Linked DNA regions of Elephas maximus indicus. The protein of the gene in region 1 binds, or shares a complex with, the protein of each later gene. Links are inferred from orthologs where the notes say so. Each region holds a gene or a part of one and is shown on either strand. Other genes may lie near its edges. The genes, in order: OSGEP and GON7.

What was found.
Region 2: OSGEP (region 1) and GON7 share a complex: the UniProt entries of both Homo sapiens proteins name them as parts of the EKC/KEOPS complex. The link is inferred for Elephas maximus indicus from reciprocal best matches to the Homo sapiens genes OSGEP and GON7.

The regions. Positions count from the first base shown.
Region 1 is NC_064828.1:30,594,239-30,604,770, reverse strand, and holds the start of OSGEP (tRNA N6-adenosine threonylcarbamoyltransferase), read left to right. Parts: upstream 1-5,281; 5' UTR 5,282-5,493; coding exon 5,494-5,500; intron 5,501-5,511; exon of another isoform or gene 5,512-5,747; coding exon 5,748-5,870; intron 5,871-7,384; coding exon 7,385-7,504; intron 7,505-7,689; coding exon 7,690-7,865; intron 7,866-9,461; coding exon 9,462-9,557; intron 9,558-9,711; coding exon 9,712-9,761; intron 9,762-9,904; coding exon 9,905-9,983; intron 9,984-10,503; coding exon 10,504-10,532. Other genes in the region: PIP4P1 (type 1 phosphatidylinositol 4,5-bisphosphate 4-phosphatase), read left to right, coding at 292-397, 578-630, 733-823, 1,740-1,883; APEX1 (DNA-(apurinic or apyrimidinic site) endonuclease), read right to left, coding at 2,951-3,468, 3,599-3,791, 4,297-4,484, 4,697-4,754. UniProt on the Homo sapiens protein: Component of the EKC/KEOPS complex that is required for the formation of a threonylcarbamoyl group on adenosine at position 37 (t(6)A37) in tRNAs that read codons beginning with adenine.
Region 2 is NC_064828.1:106,785,889-106,797,505, forward strand, and holds GON7 (EKC/KEOPS complex subunit GON7), read right to left. Parts: upstream 4,195-11,617; 5' UTR 4,157-4,194; coding exon 3,949-4,156; intron 1,624-3,948; coding exon 1,529-1,623; 3' UTR 1,274-1,528; downstream 1-1,273. Other genes in the region: putative E3 ubiquitin-protein ligase UBR7, read left to right, coding at 4,411-4,560, 6,968-7,101, 7,760-7,820, 8,700-8,795, 11,054-11,107, 11,327-11,432. UniProt on the Homo sapiens protein: Component of the EKC/KEOPS complex that is required for the formation of a threonylcarbamoyl group on adenosine at position 37 (t(6)A37) in tRNAs that read codons beginning with adenine.

The DNA.
Region 1 (10,532 bases):
CTCTCCATAAAAAGATTGGGAGGAAATGATGTCCTTTAGGAGAATGGAGAGCCTCGGACTGGGTGGATTATCCTGAGGTGAAGAGAAGTGAAGACATGACTTCTAAGCAGTGTGTTTCTTCAAGGATTCTTTGTAGTGGAGATGAGGGATAGAGCCCCTCTATGGAGAAGCAGAGGAACTTGATAAGAGAGGCGGTGGGGGGGAGGGGGTAGCGGTGTGGAGGGGGGTGAAGGAGAGATTAAAATCCTTGGGATTAAAAATGTTTTAAACATCGTCTTTTCTCATATACAGCAAAAGAATCATCAACCTGGGGCCTGTGCATCCAGGACCTCTGAGTCCAGAACCACAGCCAGTGGGTGTCAGGGTGATCTGTGGACATTGCAAGAATACTTTTCTGGTGAGGAGGGGCATTGGGGAGCCCAGGGGAAAAACTAGGAGTAATTATATTTCTCTCGAGTAATAATCTGAACCCTGAAAAAGTATGTTTCCCGCCCCCACCCCTTCCACCCAGGGTTCTCACTGAGGACGACCCTGCTTCTACCGTTAATCAGCTTCTCCTTTTTTTCTTTCTCCATAGTGGACAGAGTTCACAGACCGAACCTTGGCACGTTGCCCTCACTGCAGGAAAGTGTAAGTGATTGGGGAGTGGCATCATCGAGCTGGTAATCCAGTAACGTGGAATAAAAACTACGAGAACATCACAAGCATCCACTCCTGTTTGCCTCCCCACAGGTCGTCTATTGGGCGCAGATATCCACGAAAGAGATGTATCTGCTGTTTCTTGCTTGGCTTGCTCTTGGCAATCACTGCCACTGGCCTTGCTGTGAGTAACCTTGACTCAGCCCCTTTCATTCTTCCTGTTTGCCTCTGTCTCAGCCTTATCTCCATAGGCTGGGAGATTTGGGAAATACCTACCCTAAAGAAAAGTGAGGCACAGTGGTTAAGTGCTTGGCTGCCAGCCGAAAGATTGGTGGTTTGGACCCACCAGCTGCTCCATGGCAGAAAGATGTGGCAATCAGCTTTCGTAAGAGATTACAGCCTTGGAACCCCTGTGGAGCAGCTCTGCTCTGTTCTGTAGGGTCGGCTATGAGTCGGAATTGACACAAGGGCAGTGGTCTTGGTTTTAAGAAAGGTGAAAGAAACTGAGGACTGTTTGCTTAGGTTTTCTTTTAAGGTATGGATGAGCTAATGTTGAAGGTAGCTAATCAACATTCTTTTTCATTACTGTAGGAATGAAAAATGGCCATTCTCTCTCTCTGCACAGGACAAGACAGTGAAGAAGGGGCTTAGATTAAGATCTGATATTAGGAAGCATGGAAACCCTGGTGGTGTAGTGGTTAAGCGCTAGGGCTGCTAACCAAAAGGTCAGCAGTTTGAATTACCAGCTGCTCCTTTGAAAACCTATGGGGCAGTTCTACTCCATCCTATAGGGTCACTATTAGTCGGAATCAACTCGACGGCAGCGGGTTTGGTTTTTTATTAGGAAGCCTGGCTCAGTTGTGAGACATTAAGAAAAACTGACAGGTGTCTGTCTGGGATGGTATGAATGTTTCTGCCTAGGGGAAGGAAACTGAGCAGCTTGGCCTTTAAAAAGGTCCCTGAAGGTTTTACAGATGGGTAGGGACTTGAGACAGAAGCTTGAGTCTGTGTCACTTCACTATTACTAGGGCTCCTGGGAAGTTATAAGAGATCAACACTAACCCCATCTTTTTTTCCTTCTTCCTCCTCACCTCTTTCAGTTTGGCACATGGAAGCATGCACGGCGATATGGAGGTATCTATGCAGCCTGGGCATGTGTCATCCTGCTGGCTGTGCTGTGTTTGGGCCGGGCCCTGTATTGGGCCTGTATGAAGGTCAGCCACCCTGCCCAGAACTTCTCCTGAGCCCCACCATGATATACAGACTGTGCCTGGCCCCTCCCTGGTGGGGACAGTGACACTACAAAGGGAGCTGGGATAAAGGGCTCCCTGGGCTTCCACAAGGGAAGCCAAGCAGCTGCCTTCCTTTTCCCAGGGGAGAGGTAGGAAGGAACCAGGCCCTCATTTAGGTTTGGAGGGGTAGGTAAGACCACTGATGGCCATCTGCTCTCCTCCAAGGGTTGCTGTGTTTAAGGGTGAAGTAGGCGCAGTGTTGCCCCTAAAGCTGGGCTCCAAAAGACGGTTCTAGCCTTGTGCTTCCTATATGCCCCGAGAGCCATTCCTGTCCCTTACACATTCTAGGGCAGGGGTGGGTGGGGTAGCCCTGGGGGTTTCCCTCCCTCTTGTGCACCATTAGGACCTTGCTGCTGCTATTGCACTTCACCAGGGGCTGGCTCTGGCCTCAGTACCCTCAGTCTCCTCTCCCCACATTCCATGTCCTGTGGGGGTGGGGTCAGCCGCTGCTCTGTACAGAACCACGGGAACTGATGTATATATAACTATTTAATGTGGGGGTATGTTCCCCTAGTCCTGTATTTCCCTTTAATTCCTCCTTCCAACCTTCTTAACCCCAGTTGCAGTATCTATCTGGGCTGGGTAGGGTTGCTGCGTCTTGGGGGAGGTTAGGGATTCATCTATGCTTGTAAATAAATACGGTCATGACTCAACTCTTCTCCATTTGTTAACTTGCATGTATGAAGACAGGGAAAACGAGAATTTGTAGTCCCACCAAGAAACAGATAAAACACAAAGGCAGCAAGGCTGAAACTATGGCTTTTTATTTTCACAAGGACAGTTCAAAAGAAGTCATCAGTAGCTTTTATTTAATGTAAAAACAAACAAAAAAAACATGAAACAAAAATCTTGCGCTTAAAAGTTCAAGAAAGCTGAAATTTGTCACTAGAAGCCTGTTTGGAGGATTCATATAGTTTTAGAAGGCAAGTACAGCACAGGTTTCTTAAGAGGAAGTTTTGAAGAAGAAATGCTAGTTTAGGGGGCTCATTTTCCAGACTCAAAGCGATTTTTGGGAGGTCTCACAGTGCGAGGAGTAGGGTGATAGGACAGTGATCACTGCCTAAGGCCTTGGAACGGATCTTGCTGTCACACAATGCAGGTAACAGGGAGTGAGACAACAAAAAATAATCAAGGCGCCAGCCAACATTCTTGGATCGTGCATTCATCATGTAGGTCCAAAAGGTATAGGCATAGGCCGTGTCAGGGTAGAGGTGCCGGAAGCTGTCAGCCAGTGGCACAGCCTGCAACAATTCCCCAAAGCCTTGCCGCTCTTGCGGAGTAAAGCCAGCATTCTTTTTGTTTCCTTTGGGGTTGCGAAGGTCAATCTCTTCATGAGCCACGTTGAGGTCTCCACATAGCACAAGAGGCTTGCGTGAAGCCAGGCCCTTCAGGAATTTACGAAAGGCTTCATCCCAGCGCTGTCGGTAGTCTAGCCGCACCAGACCCCGGCCCGCATTAGGTACATAGACTGTTACCAGCACAAATGCATCAAATTCAGCTACGATCACCCGGCCTTCCTGATCATGTTCCTCCTCGCCTATAGAAAAGATGAAGGAGAATCAGAGAAAACTATAAAAGAAAATGAAGGAATAGAGTTGGGGCAGGAGGACAGTATTAGCAATTGGTTCAGAAGAGCTCAGGCATTAGGGATCAATAGAGTGTCTCACCGATGCCATAAGAGACTTTGAGTGGGCACTGGCGGGAGAGTAGGCCCACACCACTGTACCCTTCCTTGTCTGAAGGAGCCAACCAGTACTGATGAGATAGTCCAGGCAGGTCTTGAAGTTCGGCTGGTAGTTTCTTCTCTGAGCATTTCGTTTCTTGGAGGCACAGAATATCTGGAGCTTCTTCCTTTACCCACTGGGAGTGAAGATGAGAAGGTCTTATCAACTCAGACATTTGTTTAATCTCCGTATGACAAGAGAAATTCACAGGAGAGGTTTGAGGTTTTGTGCATAAGGAGTTCAGCAGTCCAGCAAAACAGTATTTAAACAATTATAAAACAATGTTAAGTGTTCTAACAATGATAACTAAAGGAAGAAGGTGAGAAGAGGCTTATATGCGCAGTGGATAGCTAAGTAGTACTTATTGGAAGGAAAGATATATTGGAGATACAATGGAGAAAGTCCAATAAAGAGGTTTTTGAAACACTGGAAAAGAAATGACATGAATAGTGGCAGTGGAATTGAGGGAATGGCCGTTTAATAAAAATTACAACTAGCAAGTCTTTGTGAAGTTCCCATTGTACCTCTCCCACAAGGTAATTAGACAAGGAAAAACAAAAACTGCATCCGAGGGAACAAAAAGAGAAAAAAGGGATTAAACCCAAGATCAGTACTAGAGAATTTCACTTCCTCTTACTCACATCTAAACCTTTCTTCTTAATCCACGCTCGAAGCCCATCCACATTCCAGGAGCAGATTTTAAGTGTGGCGGATTTGCCACTAGGTGAGGTTTTCCGATCGGGGGGGTCCTCATATAGGGCTGGCCCCTCTCCTGCTGCCTCTTTGTCGTTTTTCTTTGCTGCCGTCTTACTCTTTTTGGCCTCTTGCTCTATAAAATTAATAACACATAGTGATAAAAGCTGGTGGTTTCCCACCCTTGACCCAAAGTTAACCGTATGCGCGAGAACCTACGACTTCGATCACATAAACCTTCAAAAAAAAAAAAAAATGGGCCGGTCCGTACTGCCTCCTTCCTTCATCGAGACAGTGGAAGCACCCCCACCGCAGCCTCCAGGAGAGGAGCTCGTTTTATTCTCCTACCGATCTTGGGCTCTTCCCCGTCTTCAGCCACAGTTCCCTTTTTCCCACGCTTCGGCATCCCTGCAAGGAATACCCTTAGGCACTTCTTCCACGTCGCCCACCGAAGCAAAATTTTTAGCGCGCTGCCTACGGATGCAAAGAAATCGTGAAACCAGCTAAGGCTAGCAACGGGGAGACTCCTCTCTCAGGCATCCCCATACCAGATGTCGCCTCTAACCGCATTATCTCTGAATCTTTTCCCTGCCTCGGTGCATCATAGGCCCTTCAGCCCCACACGCACTGGACAAGATTGTTTTACAGTGCCTTGGCCCCTCCTCCCGATAGCTGCCCTCCGGCCAATCTAAGACCTTAATAATGGGCCCCGATTCAGCCTAGCTGGCCAGACCTCAGGAAAAATCCCTCTGTGGGCAGAACAGCACCCCCATAGCTGACCTGCTCGAGTCCCAGCCCGACTCCTCCTTACCCGGGCACAAAGAATGGAGCCCGTTGTGCCCCCACGTGGGTAACTGGCGTAGTCACGTGATCCTAGGTCCGCGGCGGGCGGCCGAGGAACGGCAGTGATTGGTCTGTCTGTCACCACGTGACGAAGCCCGGCCTTCCCTCTCGGCTCCGTTTCTCCCGGGGACTGAAGGCCCCAACCCACCATCCTGGGGCTGTTTATCTTTGTGCCAGATGCATAACTCATCCTGCGACCCTGACCGAAGATCCCGACGCTGTGCAAGAGGGAAAAACATCGGGGGAGAAGCTGAACTGCACCAGGGGAAAATACGGGGAGCGGATAGGAATGTAAGGGGCAGATGCCAGGTCAGTATGCCTGGCAGTTAGGAGGTCGGGTCCTTGAAGGGGCCTTCACAGGTCGCCGTGACGACGGGGGCGGTGCGCGCATCTCGAGCGTTCCAGTTAAGGGTTCTCTGGGGTCTGAGACGGTGCGTGTTGCTGTGTACCAGCCGCGGGCAAGTCCTCTTCCTTTTCAGCTCGGATTCTGCGGCTGAGCCCGGACTGGTGAGGCGCTCCACAGGTCACCAGGAGCCCTGCCGGCGTTTTCTTTCAGGCTCGACCATGCCGGCGGTGCTGGGTTTCGAAGGCAGCGCCAACAAGATTGGCGTGGGAATAGTGCGGGATGGCACGGTGTTGGCGAACCCGCGGCGGACTTACGTCACTCCGCCGGGCACAGGTAAATGACTAGCGGACTTGGAGTTTACAGCGCGCTTCACCGCACAGCATCACCTTCTGTCTTCCTAAACGTCAGTGAAGTGGGGTGCATTATCCCATTTTACAGCTTTTGATCCGAGGCTCACTGATACTACTTGACAGTGTTAAGGTCACAATTATGGTGGATAGAAGAGTCAGCAGGCACTTGGACCTGGATCTTCAGGATTCGTTCAACTTCTGTTGAGCGCCTTTTCCTTGCCAAGCATTGGCTGGCTGCTGGATACAAAAATAGATGTCATGAGCTTGCTGTGGAGTCGGGCATATAGACACAGTCATACTGTAAATGGTATCAGAAATGCAATGAAAATATTCTAGAACCAGAAGGAGAGTGAGCGGTCAGAGTGGAAAGACTCCCGGCTTAGAACTTGCTGACTTTGTAATATTCGTGGTCACTGTCCATGTTCTTGGATTTCTTTACTTTTAAAATGGGGATAATAAGACCTGTCTCACTGATTCTTGAGAGTTAAATGGAAGTAGCAGATACATTACAACTTTTCATAAGTGTTATTTTTAAGCTGTTGTATCCTATTTAGCCTACCCTCCCCCAATACACCTGCACACTTAGGAGAGAGCAACTGACATGTGTGTACCTGAGAAACTATGTATATTTAGCATTTACTCTTCTAGGCACTTGGGCCCCAGGAATGCAGAAATAAATAAAATAGCCAATGCTTTGAGGCACTCAGAGTTAAATGGGAGAAACTTGTAATTATAATGCTATGATTGTTACATGTTAAGTGCTGTGTATAAACTGAAGGACTTCAATCTTCCTTTCCCACAGAACACCTGGTAGAATTCTTGTCAGAGATAGCTCAGCATTGTTCTCAGCTTTTGAAAGGGTTAAATAGGGTCACAAAGGAAGATCACCAAAGGGTATGGGGTAGGTATTAACTAGGATTGAGTCCGGAAGCTGTGTTGCTTATGAAGAAGGACATTTCTGAGAGCTGAACAGCCTGTATCCTAACCAAAAAACCAAACCCGTAGCCATCAAATCGATTCTGACTCATAGCGAACCTATAGGACAGAGTAGAACTGCCCCCATAGGGCTTCCAAGGCTGTAATCTTTACAGAAGCAGACTGCTCGCTGGGTGACTGGTGGGTTCAAATCACTGACCTCTCGCTTAGCAGCACTTTTAACCACTGTGCATCCAGAGCTCCTTAACAGCCTACATAACCTACTTAAACTTACTGCCGTTGAGTTGATTCCAACTCATGGCAATCCTATAGAACAGAGTAGAACTGCCCTGTAGTTTCCAAGGAGCGCCTGGCGGATTCGAACCAATGACCTTTTGGTTAGCAGCCATAGTACTTGACCACTGTGCCACCAGGGTTTGCCAGAAATTGTGAAAAGGAATATCTGAAAGCCCGGAAGACGGCATACTTCAGGAGAAAGGAACTCTTCCTACAATACTAAAACTTTTTTCTCTTCTACTTATCATTGCAATGAAAAACCTCTGACCTGTGACCATCTCCTAGGATTCCTCCCAGGTGACACTGCCCGGCACCATCGAGCCGTTATCCTGGATCTCCTGGAGGAGGCACTAACAGAGGCTGGATTGACCTCCCAGGATATTGATTGTGTTGCCTACACCAAAGGTATGGCTGGGAGCGTGGTCAACAATGGAGGAATGGGCCTAGAGCCTGGCTGGGTCAAAATAACCTACACCTCACCTCAGCCACCACCACCACTAACTTCTACCCCACCTCTCACATCCCTACTTTCGCCATCCCTATTTCTCCCAGTCTCTGTAGGATTCTAACGCCCATTTCTATCCCCCTAGGCCCTGGCATGGGTGCCCCACTGGCGTCTGTGGCTGTTGTTGCCCGTACTGTGGCCCAGCTGTGGAATAAGCCGTTGCTGGGTGTGAACCACTGTATTGGCCACATTGAGATGGGCCGCCTCATCACTGGAGCCACCAACCCAACTGTGCTGTATGTCAGTGGAGGAAATACTCAGGTATACAGAAAACTTCAGCAATATCTTTTTAATTTCTGAGATGCCATACCAGCAACTTATGTGTTCTACATGGGTGGCAGGAACTGCAAGAACAAAGCTGGACTCATCTGAGCCTAAAATGTTAGACATCAGAGAACCCGCAACAGAGTTTGTAGCATTGCAGACTTGGGCAGGACAATCAGAGTATTCAGGAACTTTTATGTATGTAAAGATTAGGAATCTCCAGTTTAGAAAATTGAAAGACTGGTAAGGATTGAAGCCTTCGAAGTAATGGAAGGATTTTTTTATATTTTAAAGCTTATTTTTTTTCTATAAATCTTAACAATTAAGACTAAGGAGCACTACCTGATTTGTATTTTTATTTTTCATGGTAAATGTATAGAATTCATTATTCCAAGAGTGTGAAAATATAAAAATTTTAAAAAGTATTTTATAAATGGTAAAGGTCTTACATTCATAGGTGAAACTAGAGTTGTTTGGGGTATTTGCAAGACCTTTTGAGGATGGAGTCAGAGGACTCCAGTCCTCCTTTCCTGCAGAACACCTGACGGAGCTCTTGTCAAGGATAGTTGAGCATTGTCCTCAGCTTTTAAGAGGGTTATGTTGTAAAACTTCATTTTGTGAAATAATTATTAAAGATGAGGTACACATAGTCATGGAATTGATGTGAGAACTTCAGGAGGTAGAGGGTTAGGAGCTGGTTGGAGCTAGAAGGATGACATAAAAGGTTAGGGATTTGGGGGATAGACAGTAGCAGAGAAGTCTACAAGGGTCAATGAGGACGATCAGAGATGGAGTTTTCCCTTCTTCCCTTGTGAAACTTGCCTAGTCATAAAAAACAAGACAATTGGATAGAGAGGAGTGAGTAACAGAAGTAGAAAGACAGGATTTTTCTTTCCTCTTTTGTCACCAGCGTTTTGGCAGCTGAAACCCCTTGATGACAGAGTAAGATTTACATCAAAAAGGAAAGAAAGCCCCAGCAACTCCGATAAGGGAAAAGGACTGTTTATGGTCCCTGGGGAGCCCTCACTGTGGGAGGTGTGGAGCAGATGTGTCTGTCAGTGGGTGATAAATATTCCCTGTGCTAGAAGCTGGTCGCATGTGAAGAACAGACATAAGTCAGTTGCCAGTGCTGAGTGGAGTGGGCCATTAGTCTAGCCCAACAGAGGATTTTGAGTTCTTCAGCTCTGCCTCTTCCCTTGTTTCCAGATACCACTGCCCTGTTAGTATAATCTAGAAGGGCACTTGTATTGTACCCTGCCTCTAAGCAGGAGAACCTGTTCCCTAGTCCACATTTTCAAATGGCGTCCTGGAAAATGTTTAAAAAAAAAAGTATATGAAGTGATGGTTTGCTTCTGAGTCAACCTGGAATACCTTCGGTAAGTTAGGAATCTTTTCTGGGAATCCTTGTATGTGGGCTGCTTCTCAGGTAAGAGCTACAGAAAATTACCCATTCAGGATTTGGGAAAATACTTGTTTTTTTATTTAGTATTGGAAAGTTTAGTGGCCATGTTGATCCTCTGCTGTGTTCTTCCCCAAAGCCAAATACTCCTCTTTACAGACTTGAGGTTTCATGGACATCCTCACCACCCTTAGGTGATTGCGTACTCAGAACATCGTTACCGCATCTTTGGGGAAACCATTGATATTGCAGTGGGTAATTGTCTGGATCGCTTTGCCCGAGTGCTGAAGGTGAGGCATTGGGGCTGCAGAGATTATAAGATGTGGATGACTTTCTGGGGAGCTGTGGAAATGGAGGGAGGAATGGGTAAATAAGTTCCTTATGGTTCCTGGATATCTGACCTCATCCTGTCATTCACTTCTTTCCCGTTTTTCTCTCTGCCAGATTTCCAATGATCCAAGTCCAGGCTACAACATTGAACAGATGGCAAAGCGGTGAGGGGTCATAAAATAAAGGGAGGCTGACTGGTGGGGCTTAAGGGAGTTCCTTGTATATATATTATTGAGGATTGGGGGGGCTTCGGGGGGGCAGCCAGCTGACTCTAGGCTTAGTGCCTCATACACTCCCTCCCACATAGAGGCAAGAAGCTAGTTGAGCTGCCATACACTGTAAAGGGGATGGATGTCTCATTCTCAGGGATCCTGTCTTTCATTGAGGTAAGTGTGGGAGAGGTAATGAGATGGGGGCACTTTCATGTTTCCTTGATGAAACATACCTGTTTTGCTCACTGTCATATTTTCCGTATGTAGCATAGGGTTGGTTCATATCAGATGCTTAATAAATTCATTCAGCAAATAACTTACTGAGCAGCTTCTATGTGCCAAGCACTGTTCTAGGCAATAGAGATACAGCATGGGGCAAAATAAAAACCCCTGTCTACTTGGAGCAAAGACGATAAAGAAACAACAACTCAAAAAAAAGAAAAAAATATAAAGCGTGTCAGATATAACTACTGTGGAGAGATAAAGCAGGGTTAGGGGGTGTCAGGGCACGAATTAAAGAGATAATTATCGAATCTTGAATGAATGCTGCCTCTAGCTCAGTGCCATTGAAGGGCGAAATGTGGTATGAGATGTACTGTAACTTAAATTGTGGTGAAACAAGGTGGTCCATTGTACTAATTATTATTCTTATATAACCCCAACACCACTATTTTCTCACCTCTGTTAATTGCAGGATGCAGCACAACGAATGCTGGCCACAGG
Region 2 (11,617 bases), about 76 Mb from region 1:
AATCAAACCTATAACCCAGAATCTCAAAACACTGGGCCACAAGCACCAATATTATCTTGACATTTCTCCTTTATACATTTACTGATCAAAGGAAGCATAAAATACTCAGGGAGCAAAGTTCTGCTAGCAATTTAAAAATACGATCTATTTTAATTCTATAGGGTTAAGTTTTTTTAAGAATCATATACCGATACAAGATTATTATAATCAGTAACTGAGCTGAAGTCCTGATACTAGACAAAGCAAGGGAATTTGATTTCTCTTTTTATCAGCTTAAAAACATGGCGAAAGGCTATGTATGTAACTCAGCTCTGCCAACGGTTAGCTGTGTAACTCAGGGCAAATACTTATTCTGAGATTCAGTTTATTTCTGAAGTAAACCATAATTTTTAAGGTTATTTCCAATTGAAAAATTCTATGGCTTTGCATTTCATTAGGGTACACGCTACTTGATATCTTTGCATTCATTCGCACTTTAGCAATCTAAATAAATCAGGAAAGATGTACGGTAAATCAAAATGCCTTAGTCCTACTAACAAGTAGAAAAGGAACACACTATTTTAGGAATATCTATTTTTAAAAGAAATCAATAGTCCTGTTACGCAAGTATGGCTACAAGAGGAAAGGAAATGGCTCTAGTCAACAGATTAACTTAAGGCCTCCCATCTGGCCCTTAAGGCACAAGTTAAACCAGGTGATTAATACATATTTATTGAGTGGTAAGATGTCTACATTTTGGGTGTGAGTGTGGATTTAAGGTTTCCTTGGAAGCCTGGTGGTGTAGCGGTTAAGTGCTACAGCTGCTAACCGAAAGGTCGGCAGTTCAAATCCACCAGGCGCTCCTTGGAAACTCTATGGGGCAGTTCTACTCTGTCCTACAGAATCGACTTGACGTAATGGGTTTGGTTGGTTGGTCTGGGGCTCTCTCAGGAGTCCTAATTGTGCAGTGGTTAAGAGCTACAGCTGCTAACCAAAATGTCGGCAGTTCGAATCCACCAGCTACTCCTTGGAAATCCTACTGGGTAGTTCTACTTTATCCCATAGCGTCACTATGAGTCAGAATCGACTCAACGGCAACGGTTTTGTTTTGTTTTGTTTTTTGGTTTGGTTCTCTCTCAAAGGCTCTTTCTCTTCTGTATTTCTCTCTATGCCCTAATTTTCCTTCTCCGTGTAAAGAGCCACCACACTTACATTTATAATACCCAACTTTTGCCACTTGCTCATGTTAGTTCTTGAAATGTTATGTACTTTTTATAACAGAAGCAGAAGTTAAAAGATATAGACATCACACATTTAATTCAACGGTGCTATTTTATTTCCACAGTCTAAATTTTCTTTCTCACTCAAGATTTATTTCTAAGCATTTATTATATCTTTGCTGTAAACAGAAGCTTTTTCTTTGACAAAACTCCCCCAGGAGAACAAAACAGATGCTTTTCCAAATTAGGGCACAAGTCTTCCTGAAATGTCAGGGTGTGATAATTAGGACAGTAGCAGTCTTTCAGTTTAAATTTCATAAAAGCTATTGTTAAGACGGTGGTTTTGGCCGTTTTGCAGATGGTCCATCTGAGTTAGTTCTGTTATCAATGTTATTTTCATCTTCTGCATCATCTTCACCATCACCTTTTAAAATAAATATTTGTTGTATGATAAAATGTTCAATGGTTCAAAAGAAATATAGATCTTTAAAATGGTTGATAGAAACCATTTCAGTTTTGGAATTAATAAAACCATGCATATCTCAGATTCAAAATACGTATGATTAAAAATTTTTAGAAATTTATAACCTAAAACTTTTCTATCACTTTTTTTTTGGAGATATAATTCACATACTATAACACTCTTTTAAAGTGTCTTTATTTTTTTTTTTAGTACACTCACAAGGTCGCACAACCATCACCACTATCTAATTCTAGCACATTTTCATCACCCCAAAAAGAAAGCCCCTATTCATCATCAGTCTCTCGTCATTATTCCCACCCCAGCCCTTGGCAACCACTGATCTATTTTCTGTCTCTATGGATTTGCCTGTTCTGGACTTTTAATATAAAAGGAATTATACAATACACGACCTTCTGCGTCTGACTTCTTTCATTCAGCGTAATGGTTTCGAGGTTCACCCATGTCGTAGCATGTATCAGTACTTCATTTCTTTTTATTGCTGAGTGCTGTTCCATTGGATGGATACACATTTGTCTACCCATTCATTAGTTGATAGACATTTGGGGTGTTTCCAATTTCTGGCTATAATAAATAATATTGCTTTGAAAATTTGTGTACAAGTTTTTGTGTGAATTCATGTTTTCATTTCTCTTGGATACAGACTAGGAGTGGGATTATTGGGTCATACGGAAATTTTATGTTTAACTTTTTGAGGAAAAACCAAACTGCTTTCCAAAGCAGGTACACCATTTAACATTCTCACCAGCAAGGTATGAAGGTTCCACTTTCTCCACGTCCTCACTGATACTTGTTATTGTCATCTTTTTCACTATAGCCATCCTAGTAGGTATGAAGTGGTAGCTCAACTTCTTAAAATGACAGTATATATATAGGTAACAAAACACTTGTCATTTCAACAATCTTCACGTGCACAGTTCAGTGACATTAAATACAAACACGTTCATCACGTTTTTCACCCATCACCATTAATCACTGTGGTTTTGATTTGCATTTTCCTGACGGCTAATGACGTTAAGCAGCTTTTCATGCGCTTATTGGCCATTTGTATATCTTAGAGAACTGTCTATTCAAATGTTTTGCCCATTTCAAAAATGGGTTATTTGTCTTTCAAGGGTTGCATTCTGTCACTTTTTTTAGCAGCTGTTATAATTTTTATTTTTGCATACTTTTTGAGATATAATTCACATAAAGTCCATCATTTTAAGCTCTATCGTTTTTTGCAAAAGCAAAAAACTTGATCATTAAATATATAAAAACATGTCCTCCTATTACTGACTTATTATCAGCAGGACAAATGGTAGTTATTTTCCAATAAGTAATGATAGATTTTTAAAAAATAGCTCTAGCTATTATACTCTTGTTCTTACGTTATAACATTTTTAACAGATTAGAGAGCCAAGAAACAGGACTTAACTCTCAATATATGTGGCAACCACCAATTAACGTACTCATGGAAACAATCTATTATCTTGAACTCAGTGTAATGTCCTGAATTGATCTCTCCACATTATCCAGAACTATCAAGGGGAAAACAAGAGGGACAGTACTGTTTAAGCTCATCTATGGAAGAAATCCCGACTCCAATATTTAGTTCTTAGGTTTTTCAGCTCAGGCAGTCAAAATCCACCCGTTTTTGTATTCCAGACAAGATTGTTAAAAGTTAATGCAGTTAAATTTCACGTTTTTACTTCCAAACAACCACCTACAAAGCCAGGATATAAAAAAGGAGTTCCTCAGTTAAGACTTGTTAAACTGAAGTCTGTTTCAATCTTCGGAATCTGCGATACCTTGCAGTCTTCCAAACACGTGAGCCATCTCGCACCTGGTAACACTCCTTTCATCCTCAACACTGAGATCAGAAGTAGGGATGCCCTCTCTGAAGCCTTCTCTCGGTTTGCAATAGTTACAGAAGGCACAGGATTTATACTTTCACTCCTTAATACAGTGTTTACCTGTCTAGTCCCTCATCTGCCTGTGAGTTCCACAAGGGGACTCCATTCACCTCATTCTTTCTCTAGCTCAGCCCAGTGCCTGACAGAGTAGGCGCGTTCAGCACGTTCTGGGGGATAAAGTTGTGAAAACACTTCAATATAAACAGCCTAGATACACATGGCCGTGAGTGCCGACAATTTTTAGAGGGAGTACTCCTTCCATCGAGGGCTCCCCTTCCCCAAGTCCGCCACTCCACAAGGCTCCCCTGAGAGTCTCCCCGAGCGTCCCGCCCCGCCCCGCCCCCCAGCCGCTCAGCCTCGCCTCAGAACTCACCGTCCAAGGCCTCGTCTCCAGCCGCAGCCAACGGGTCCTGCGCTTCCCGCTGTACCAGGGGACCAAGGAGCTCGGCCACCCTTTCCCTCATCTGAACCACCCCCGACAACAGGCCCTGCAAAGGGTTGCCGTCGTCCGGCGCCTCACAAGACACCCGCAGCCGCAGCCGTTGCCCGTCCTGCCCTATGTACTCCCCTAGCAGCTCCATAGCGACTGCCGAGCTTCAAGCGCGCGCCACAAGAACACGTCACCCGGAAGCGGAAATCAGGCCCCTGCGGGCGCGGGCGGGAGCAGGGAGAGGAGTGACTTCCGTTTGTCCCGAGTCGCTCCTCCCCCGTCGGACACTTCCCTTTTTGGGGATTGGTTCCCGGGACTCAGGCCCCGCCTCCTCCGGCTACGCCTCTCGCGGCCGCTTTTCCCGCCTCCGCCGGGGCAGAGCTGCGAGCCGGGTGACAGTTGAGGATGGCCGGAGCAGAGGGCTCCGCTGGGCGGCATTCGGAGCTGGAGCCTGTGGTATCGTTGGTCGACGTCCTTGAGGAGGACGAGGAACTGGAGAATGAGGCGTGCGCTGTGCTGGGCGGCAGCGACTCCGAGAAGTGCTCCTATTCGCAGGTGGGCGCGCGGCCCGGGCCTCAAGTCCCCTCCGGCTCCCGCTGAGCCACCCCTCCCGGCCAGACTCCCAGTTCCAGGCGCCTCGGTCGTCTCCCCTGGGCTGGTCCAGGGCCGATGTTCGCCTCTGGGGTTCCCGCTCCAGGCCCGGATGCGCCTTTATCCTCCCAGGGCCCCTTTGTCGTTCTGTGCCCAGCCTTTCTCCTCCCGCAGTCTTCCTCCATCCAGCGCTCGGGATTCTCCAGGCTTGACCCTGGAGCGGCTGCTCAGTCCATCTCCAGTGTCTTCTTGGTAGCCCAGCCACTTCTTAGGAAACCATCCCCGTGACTTCTCAAATCCAGACATCTTTGTTTCTACTTCTCCCATTCTAAGGGCATTTATTAAGAACAGAACCATTAGGTTTTTTTTTTTTTTAAACTTTTATTTATTTTGTTGTTGAGAATACACGCTGCGAAGCAGACACCGATTCAACAGTTTCTACGTGTACAATTCGATGACATTGATTGCATTCTTCAACTTGTGCAGCCAGTCTCACCCTCCTCTTCTGAGTTGCTCCCCATTAACATAAACTCACTGCCTCCTAAGTTTCCTATCTGATTTTTCAAGTTACCGTTGTCAGTTTGATCCCATATAGGTAGTTCTTAAAAGAGCATAATGCTCAAGGCAGACCTTTTTTACTAGTTAAGCTAAACTATTGCTTGGTTTTAAGAAGACTTCAGGAGATATTTTTGATGTAAGGCTTAAAGATGATATCAGGGCAATAGTTTCAGGGGTTCATCCAGCCTCCATAGCTCCAGAAAGTCTGGAGTTCATGACATTTTGAAATTCTGTTCTGCATTTTCTTCCTTTTGATCAGGATACTTCTATAGGATCTTTGATCAAAACCACTAGATATTTATCAGGAGAGTCAAAGCAGGGTTAAAAGAGCTCTGGATTTGAAAGCTGCCCTGTGTGGCGTGGGCTGCTGAACAGCTAGTTCCTCTCTGCCGTTTAGTTTGGCAGATGCTTGTACTTTTGTGGTGAAATGAAGCAAGTGCCATGGCTGCCTGTAGTCTGCCGGCCTTGGAAATAGACTGGAGCCAGAACAGCAGGTGACACTGGCAAGCGGGGCAGGGAGAGGAGAAAAGGAAAGAATATGTTGGAAGAGGAAATTTGACATTTGGAAGACGTTGTGAACAAGGGTTCGAGAGGGTCCGATGTAGTGTTCAGCGACTCATCCTATATTTCTAGGTATCAAAGTGGAGAAAGGTGGACAGGAGGAAACAAGGAGTGTGAATTTATAGGAGGAAGGTTACCTAGACAGGAGGGTCGAGTGGAACATTGGGGGATGAGGAGAGAGACTTGCTGTCATCATGTGGTGTGCACTGAGATCATAATGCCAGTTGTCATCAATGACCAAGTTGAATTTGCACTGTAAAGTGGTTAGATTGTTGAGTAAACCTGGCATCCAGCTGTTGGCTGGTACTTTAAAACCTCTGATCACCACTGAAACAACATTTACTGTCCTTTTAAAAAATGGTGATAGGTCCTAAGTCTGTTTGTACACTATTTTTGAAATGTAGTTAGCTTTATGAAAGTTAGCTTTAATTAAAATTCTTTCTTTATTGTAGCATAATGGCAAATTATGCTAAAAAAAATCCAGCAGTGGTTTTGTGTTTTTTTTTTAATGGCTAATTGCACAAAACATGAGTATGGCTCTGAAAAAGAGTGACCACGTCCATATACCTACCACCCAGATCAAGAAATAGAACATTACTGGCATCCCAGAAGCCTCCCTGTGTCTCTCCCTCCTCCCTACAGGAGGGTAACCATTATCACGCTTTCTAAAAGCATAAGTTTTACCTTTTTTCCCCTTCAAATTTGTATTTTGAAATTTTTTAAACCTGCAAATAGAAGATTATGAACACCTGTATACCTCTCACATACATTCCTTGTTTTATCTCTAACACTTTCCTTTTTTTTTTTCTTTTTGACTGAACCATTTGAAAAGAAGTTGCAGATATCATGACACTGCACCTCTAAATACTTCAGCATGCATCTCCTAAGAATGCATTGATTTCTTTTGTAGAATTATAAGCCTTTTCCAAAATTAAGGTGTGATATAACTGGGTACTCGCATTCTCCTGTGTTTTCATGTGCTAAAATGATTAACCAGAACAACTTGTTCACAGTTGACTGAAATTTTAAGACTTCTTATCACTTTAAGAAGAAACTGTATGTAAATAAGCATAGTGTAGTACATGTATAGTGGTATGAAACATGCAACACTTCTCGGTGGTTTTTACAGGAAGATATTGACCACAGGTAATCTGATTTTAATTATTTCTCAGATGTTAGTATACGTATTAGGTAACTATGCCATATTTTATTAATTCATCCTCTCTCTCTCCATTTTGGGGCTGTCTTTTAGGGCTCAGTAAAGAGACAAGCACTATATGCCTGTAGTACGTGCACCCCAGAGGGAGAAGAACCAGCTGGGATTTGCCTAGCTTGCAGTTACGAATGCCATGGAAGTCATAAACTTTTTGAGCTATATACGAAAAGGTAAAGCCAGTCAGAGATTGTTACTGAATGCTCCTTTCCCAGCTGCACTTTTTTTTCTTAATTTTGTTTTTCCCTTAAAAGTAGTTGTGCACTAGTGACATTTAATATAATTATTTTATATAATGTAATTAGAGAAGGTAATTTTTCTAGAGGGCCTTTTAAGATATAACTGTGGTACAAGCTGAAGCTACTCATTCTTCTCTGCCATTGTTTTACATCTATTTACATGTATGTAGATATAGTTACGTGTACGTAGATATATGCATAGGGAGCCCTGGCAGCGCAGCGGTTAAGCATTTCACTGTGAACTAAAAAAGTCATCAGTTTGAATCGACCAGCTGCTCCTTGGAGACCCTATGGGCCAGTTCTACTCTGACCTATAGTGTCACTATGAGTTGGAATCTGGGCTTGGTTTGGTTTTATACACAGGTATATATATATATGATATATCTATCTGTCTTTATGCATGTTAATTTCTAGAATGTAAAATCCCATTTATTGTTATGTGTTTGGGAACATTCTGAATTGAATACCTGAACAGCAACCAAGTCTTCTTTTTAGATCCTGGAAAATTGTGGAAAAAGGAGTAGGCTATGATTTGAGTTTAAAGAGTAAGTTAAAAAGAAAAATAAAATTGGCTCTTCTTCCTTTATTTCAGAAATTTTCGTTGTGATTGTGGAAACAGCAAGTTTAAAAATTTGGAATGCAAACTATTTCCTGTAAGTAAGCACTATATATAAATGCGGAGAAAGAAGCTGAAGTTGATATTTGCCAGAGTGGGTGAAAACCAAATGTTTTCCAAAAAGGAACTTCTTATTCTCTGCAGTGGTCAAATCAATAATAGACTTATTTTATTTTTCACTTTGTTGGAAAAACCGTATACCCTGTTCTAAGCCTACTGAATAGATTGTAATTAATGTGAAGGGTTTGGGGGAAAAATGTTCTTAAAAGCGTTTCAGGTTCAGTTATGTCGGTTGTGTTCATGCTGTGAGGCTTTTAGAGAAAAGAATATGACTTTAAAAACTGAGTAAGTAAAACATGCTAGCAATGAATGTGGGCTAGATGCACACAAGAGTTTTTCACTGCTTTTTTGTTAATAAAACCTGCTTATGCAAAAACCTTCAATAAAACAACAAATGAAAGAGAAAGTAAGAAATGCCACATTGTTCAATTGTAATTGCTAAAGATGTCATGCTTTTTCCCTCCTTTGAAGGTATTTTTAGGCAATTTCCTTGCCTGCTTTTGATCTCCTAGTACCGTGGGGTCCTTAACTATCCCTGCTGGTCATAAAGAAGTACCCCCAAAATTTCAGGTCAATGTCAGTTTACATAGGTTAATAATTAATAATTAATTTTTTTCTCCATTTAATTGAATGGGTATATTCAATTTTCCCCTAATTGCTACAAAAAATAAATTTTATCTTTTTTCTGTATCTTGGGAAAAGTGTCCCTTCAGTGGGAGTGATTTTTTTTCTTTGCACTTTGAAAGTTAAAGACCAGCTTCTAGCGGGGGGAGATACTAATTTAATGCATACATTTCATCATGCGTGAAATTGTAGTTAAAATTAAACAATGTTACATATTGAAATTGTCTTTCAGGATAAAGCAAAGGTAAATTCAGGCAATAAGTACAATGACAACTTTTTTGGACTGTACTGCGTTTGCAAGAGACCTTATCCTGATCCTGAAGATGAGGTAAGAGAATTCGAGGTTAAAACCTGGGGCTCCGTTATCACTGGCTTTAACTCCTCAGCCTCTTGACATATGTGGGCTTCTGTAGCTGTTCAGCAGGGGGGGTGTGCATATTGTGAAAGAATTCTAAATTTATCCCTTCTTAATGAGTCTGGGCTAGATTTATTACTGGTACAGATCTGAACTACTATTCTCACTTTTACATTATAAAAATGAAACATTGTCCAGAACTTTCCCAAGGCCAAGACTTCTTTCCTTCCCTCTGTGTTCTTCCCTTTCTCTGTTTGCCTGCTTTCTCCTCCCCCAGTCACTCAAGAAATGACCTTTAAATTCTTGCCTCCTTGAAAGGAAAGAAATGCGGTTTGAGTGTATAAACTAGGCCCTCTTTAAAAATTCCGTTAGGAATATATACAAAATTAAGAGTTTTTCTTCTTCACTTCTGTACCTTCCTACCTCCCAGACAAAACCACTGTTAACACTTTTCGATGTATATATTCTTAGAACTTTTTCAATGCACGTGTAAGTAGTTGAGTGAATGTGTGTTTCTGTGTAGTTTCCTTTTTTTTAAACAAAAGTGAAAACAGTACTGCAACTTTTCTTCTCAGCATATCATAGCCATCCTTCCATGTCAGATGTAAACACCAATTTACATCATTCTAAGTGTCGCAGAGTATTCCATAGTTTCATATGGCATGAGTTAGTTCACCTAAATTTTCTTCTGTACGAGAATGGTCATGTCTGGTTTTTCACTATTATAAAAAAGGCTGCAGTGAACATCTTTATATGTCTTAGTCGTCTAGTGCTGCTATAACAGAAATACCACAAGTGGATGGCTTTAACAAAGAGAAATTTATTCTGTCAGACTCTAGGAGCCTAGAAGTCCTCTTGCTCCCTCTGGGCCTCTCTGTTGTGTTCCCTGTCAGGGCAGTCATCGGCTGTAGCTGGGCACCATCTAGTTCTTCTGGTCTCAGGCTGATGTAGTCTCTGGTTTATGTGGCCCTTTCTGTCTCTGGGGCTCATAATTACCTTGTGCCTTGGTGTTCTTCATTCTCCTTTGATCCAGGTGGGTTGAGACCAATTGATACATCTTAGATGGCCATTTGCTAGCGTTTAAGACCCCAGATGCCACTCTCCAAAGTGGGATGCAGAATGTTTTCTTAATAGATTTTATTATGCCAATTGACTTAGATGTCCCCTGAAACCATGGTCCCCAAACCCTAAAGGAGTTCTTTTTATCTTTAGAGAAATTAGCCTTCTTCCTTGCTTTCTAACTGTCTTAGATTTGTAATTGTTGAACCGAATTATATAGAAGAACAAATTGAAGATATCTTTGATATCTTATAAAACTGTTGGATCAAAAGACAGAAAAAACAAGACGAGGAAAAGACAGGACAGCATTGGAATTGTTAATCAGTAGACATGAAAGCCTGGGGATGAAAGGAAAATCATTCAAAAAACTGTCTACGTCCTTCGGTATATAATCTTTCTAGGGTTGACATTTAATTATTTAATTAATTCAAATGAAAGAAATTGTTGCTGTCCATATTATCAAGAAAGTGTCTTTCGCATTTACTTTTCAGTTTTCTTGGCAGCATGGTGTGGTAAGAAGTCCCAGTTGCCACATTCCAAGTTGGTCAATTCACATTCCCTCCCGGGGCCTCAGTTTGTGTGTAAAATGGGAAAATGAAAATGCCCTGCTTACGAAGTTTTAAAACCAGATGCCCCATAGGGTTTCCAAGGAGTGGCTGTTGGATTCAAGCTGCTGACCTTTTGGTTAGCAGCCAAGCTCTTAACCACTATGCCATCAGGGCTCCAGATATTAGGTAATTGATATGAAAGAGCTTTTGGTAATGGCAAGGTGCTAATCTCAATGAGGAGCCCTGGTGGCACAGTGGTTAAGAGCTGTGGCAGCTAACTAAAACGTTGGCAGGTGAAATTCACCAGCCGCTCCATGGAATCCCTATGGGGCAGTTCTACTCTTTCCTGTAACGTTGCTCTGAGTTGTAATTGACTTGATGGCAGTGCACTTGGTTTTTTGTTTTATCCCAGTGAAACCCTTACATGACACCAGTTCGTGTAGAACAGATTTCTTTGGCCCTTTGATCCATTGTTTCACCCTATCCCTTTGAGTACTGGCATGTGAATAGGAGTCTCAAAGTTGGTAGAGAATTATTTAATATCTAATTTTACTGTGTGCCACGATTATTTCTATGTCCCAGTATTCAATGTAATCATTAGCCAACAAACTGTTTCTGTGTTAGATTCCAGATGAAATGATCCAGTGTGTAGTCTGTGAAGACTGGTTCCATGGAAGGGTAAGGAAAGCTTCTTTCACCTTATTAAGCTATTATAAAGCCTTTGGAAAAAATTAAAAGGATTTTTTGCCTTTTTAATGGTTATATTTTACACCATGACTACTTTTCTGCAAATATAATATTATTAGTGTACTATTGTAATATTTGTTTATAAAATAATGGGCATTTTGGACAACGTGGGGAATCACAAGAAAAATATTCTGTTTTCTGTACTGACAGCATCTTGGTGCCACTCCCCCTGAGAGTGGGGATTTCCAAGAGATGGTGTGCCAAGCTTGTATGAAACGCTGTTCTTTCTTGTGGACTTACGCTGCACAATTGGCAGGTAGGAATCTGTGAAGTGTATGTCGCGAACCTGTGCTTGTGAAATTTGTAGGTTCAAGCCACAATTTTTAGGAACTGTTTTTAACGGGACCCTGAGATATAAGAAGGAAGTATAAGACACGTTCCTTCTCCACAAAGTGCTTCTAGATTGGTTGGGAGATTACCGAGAACAAATGTATACTTAAA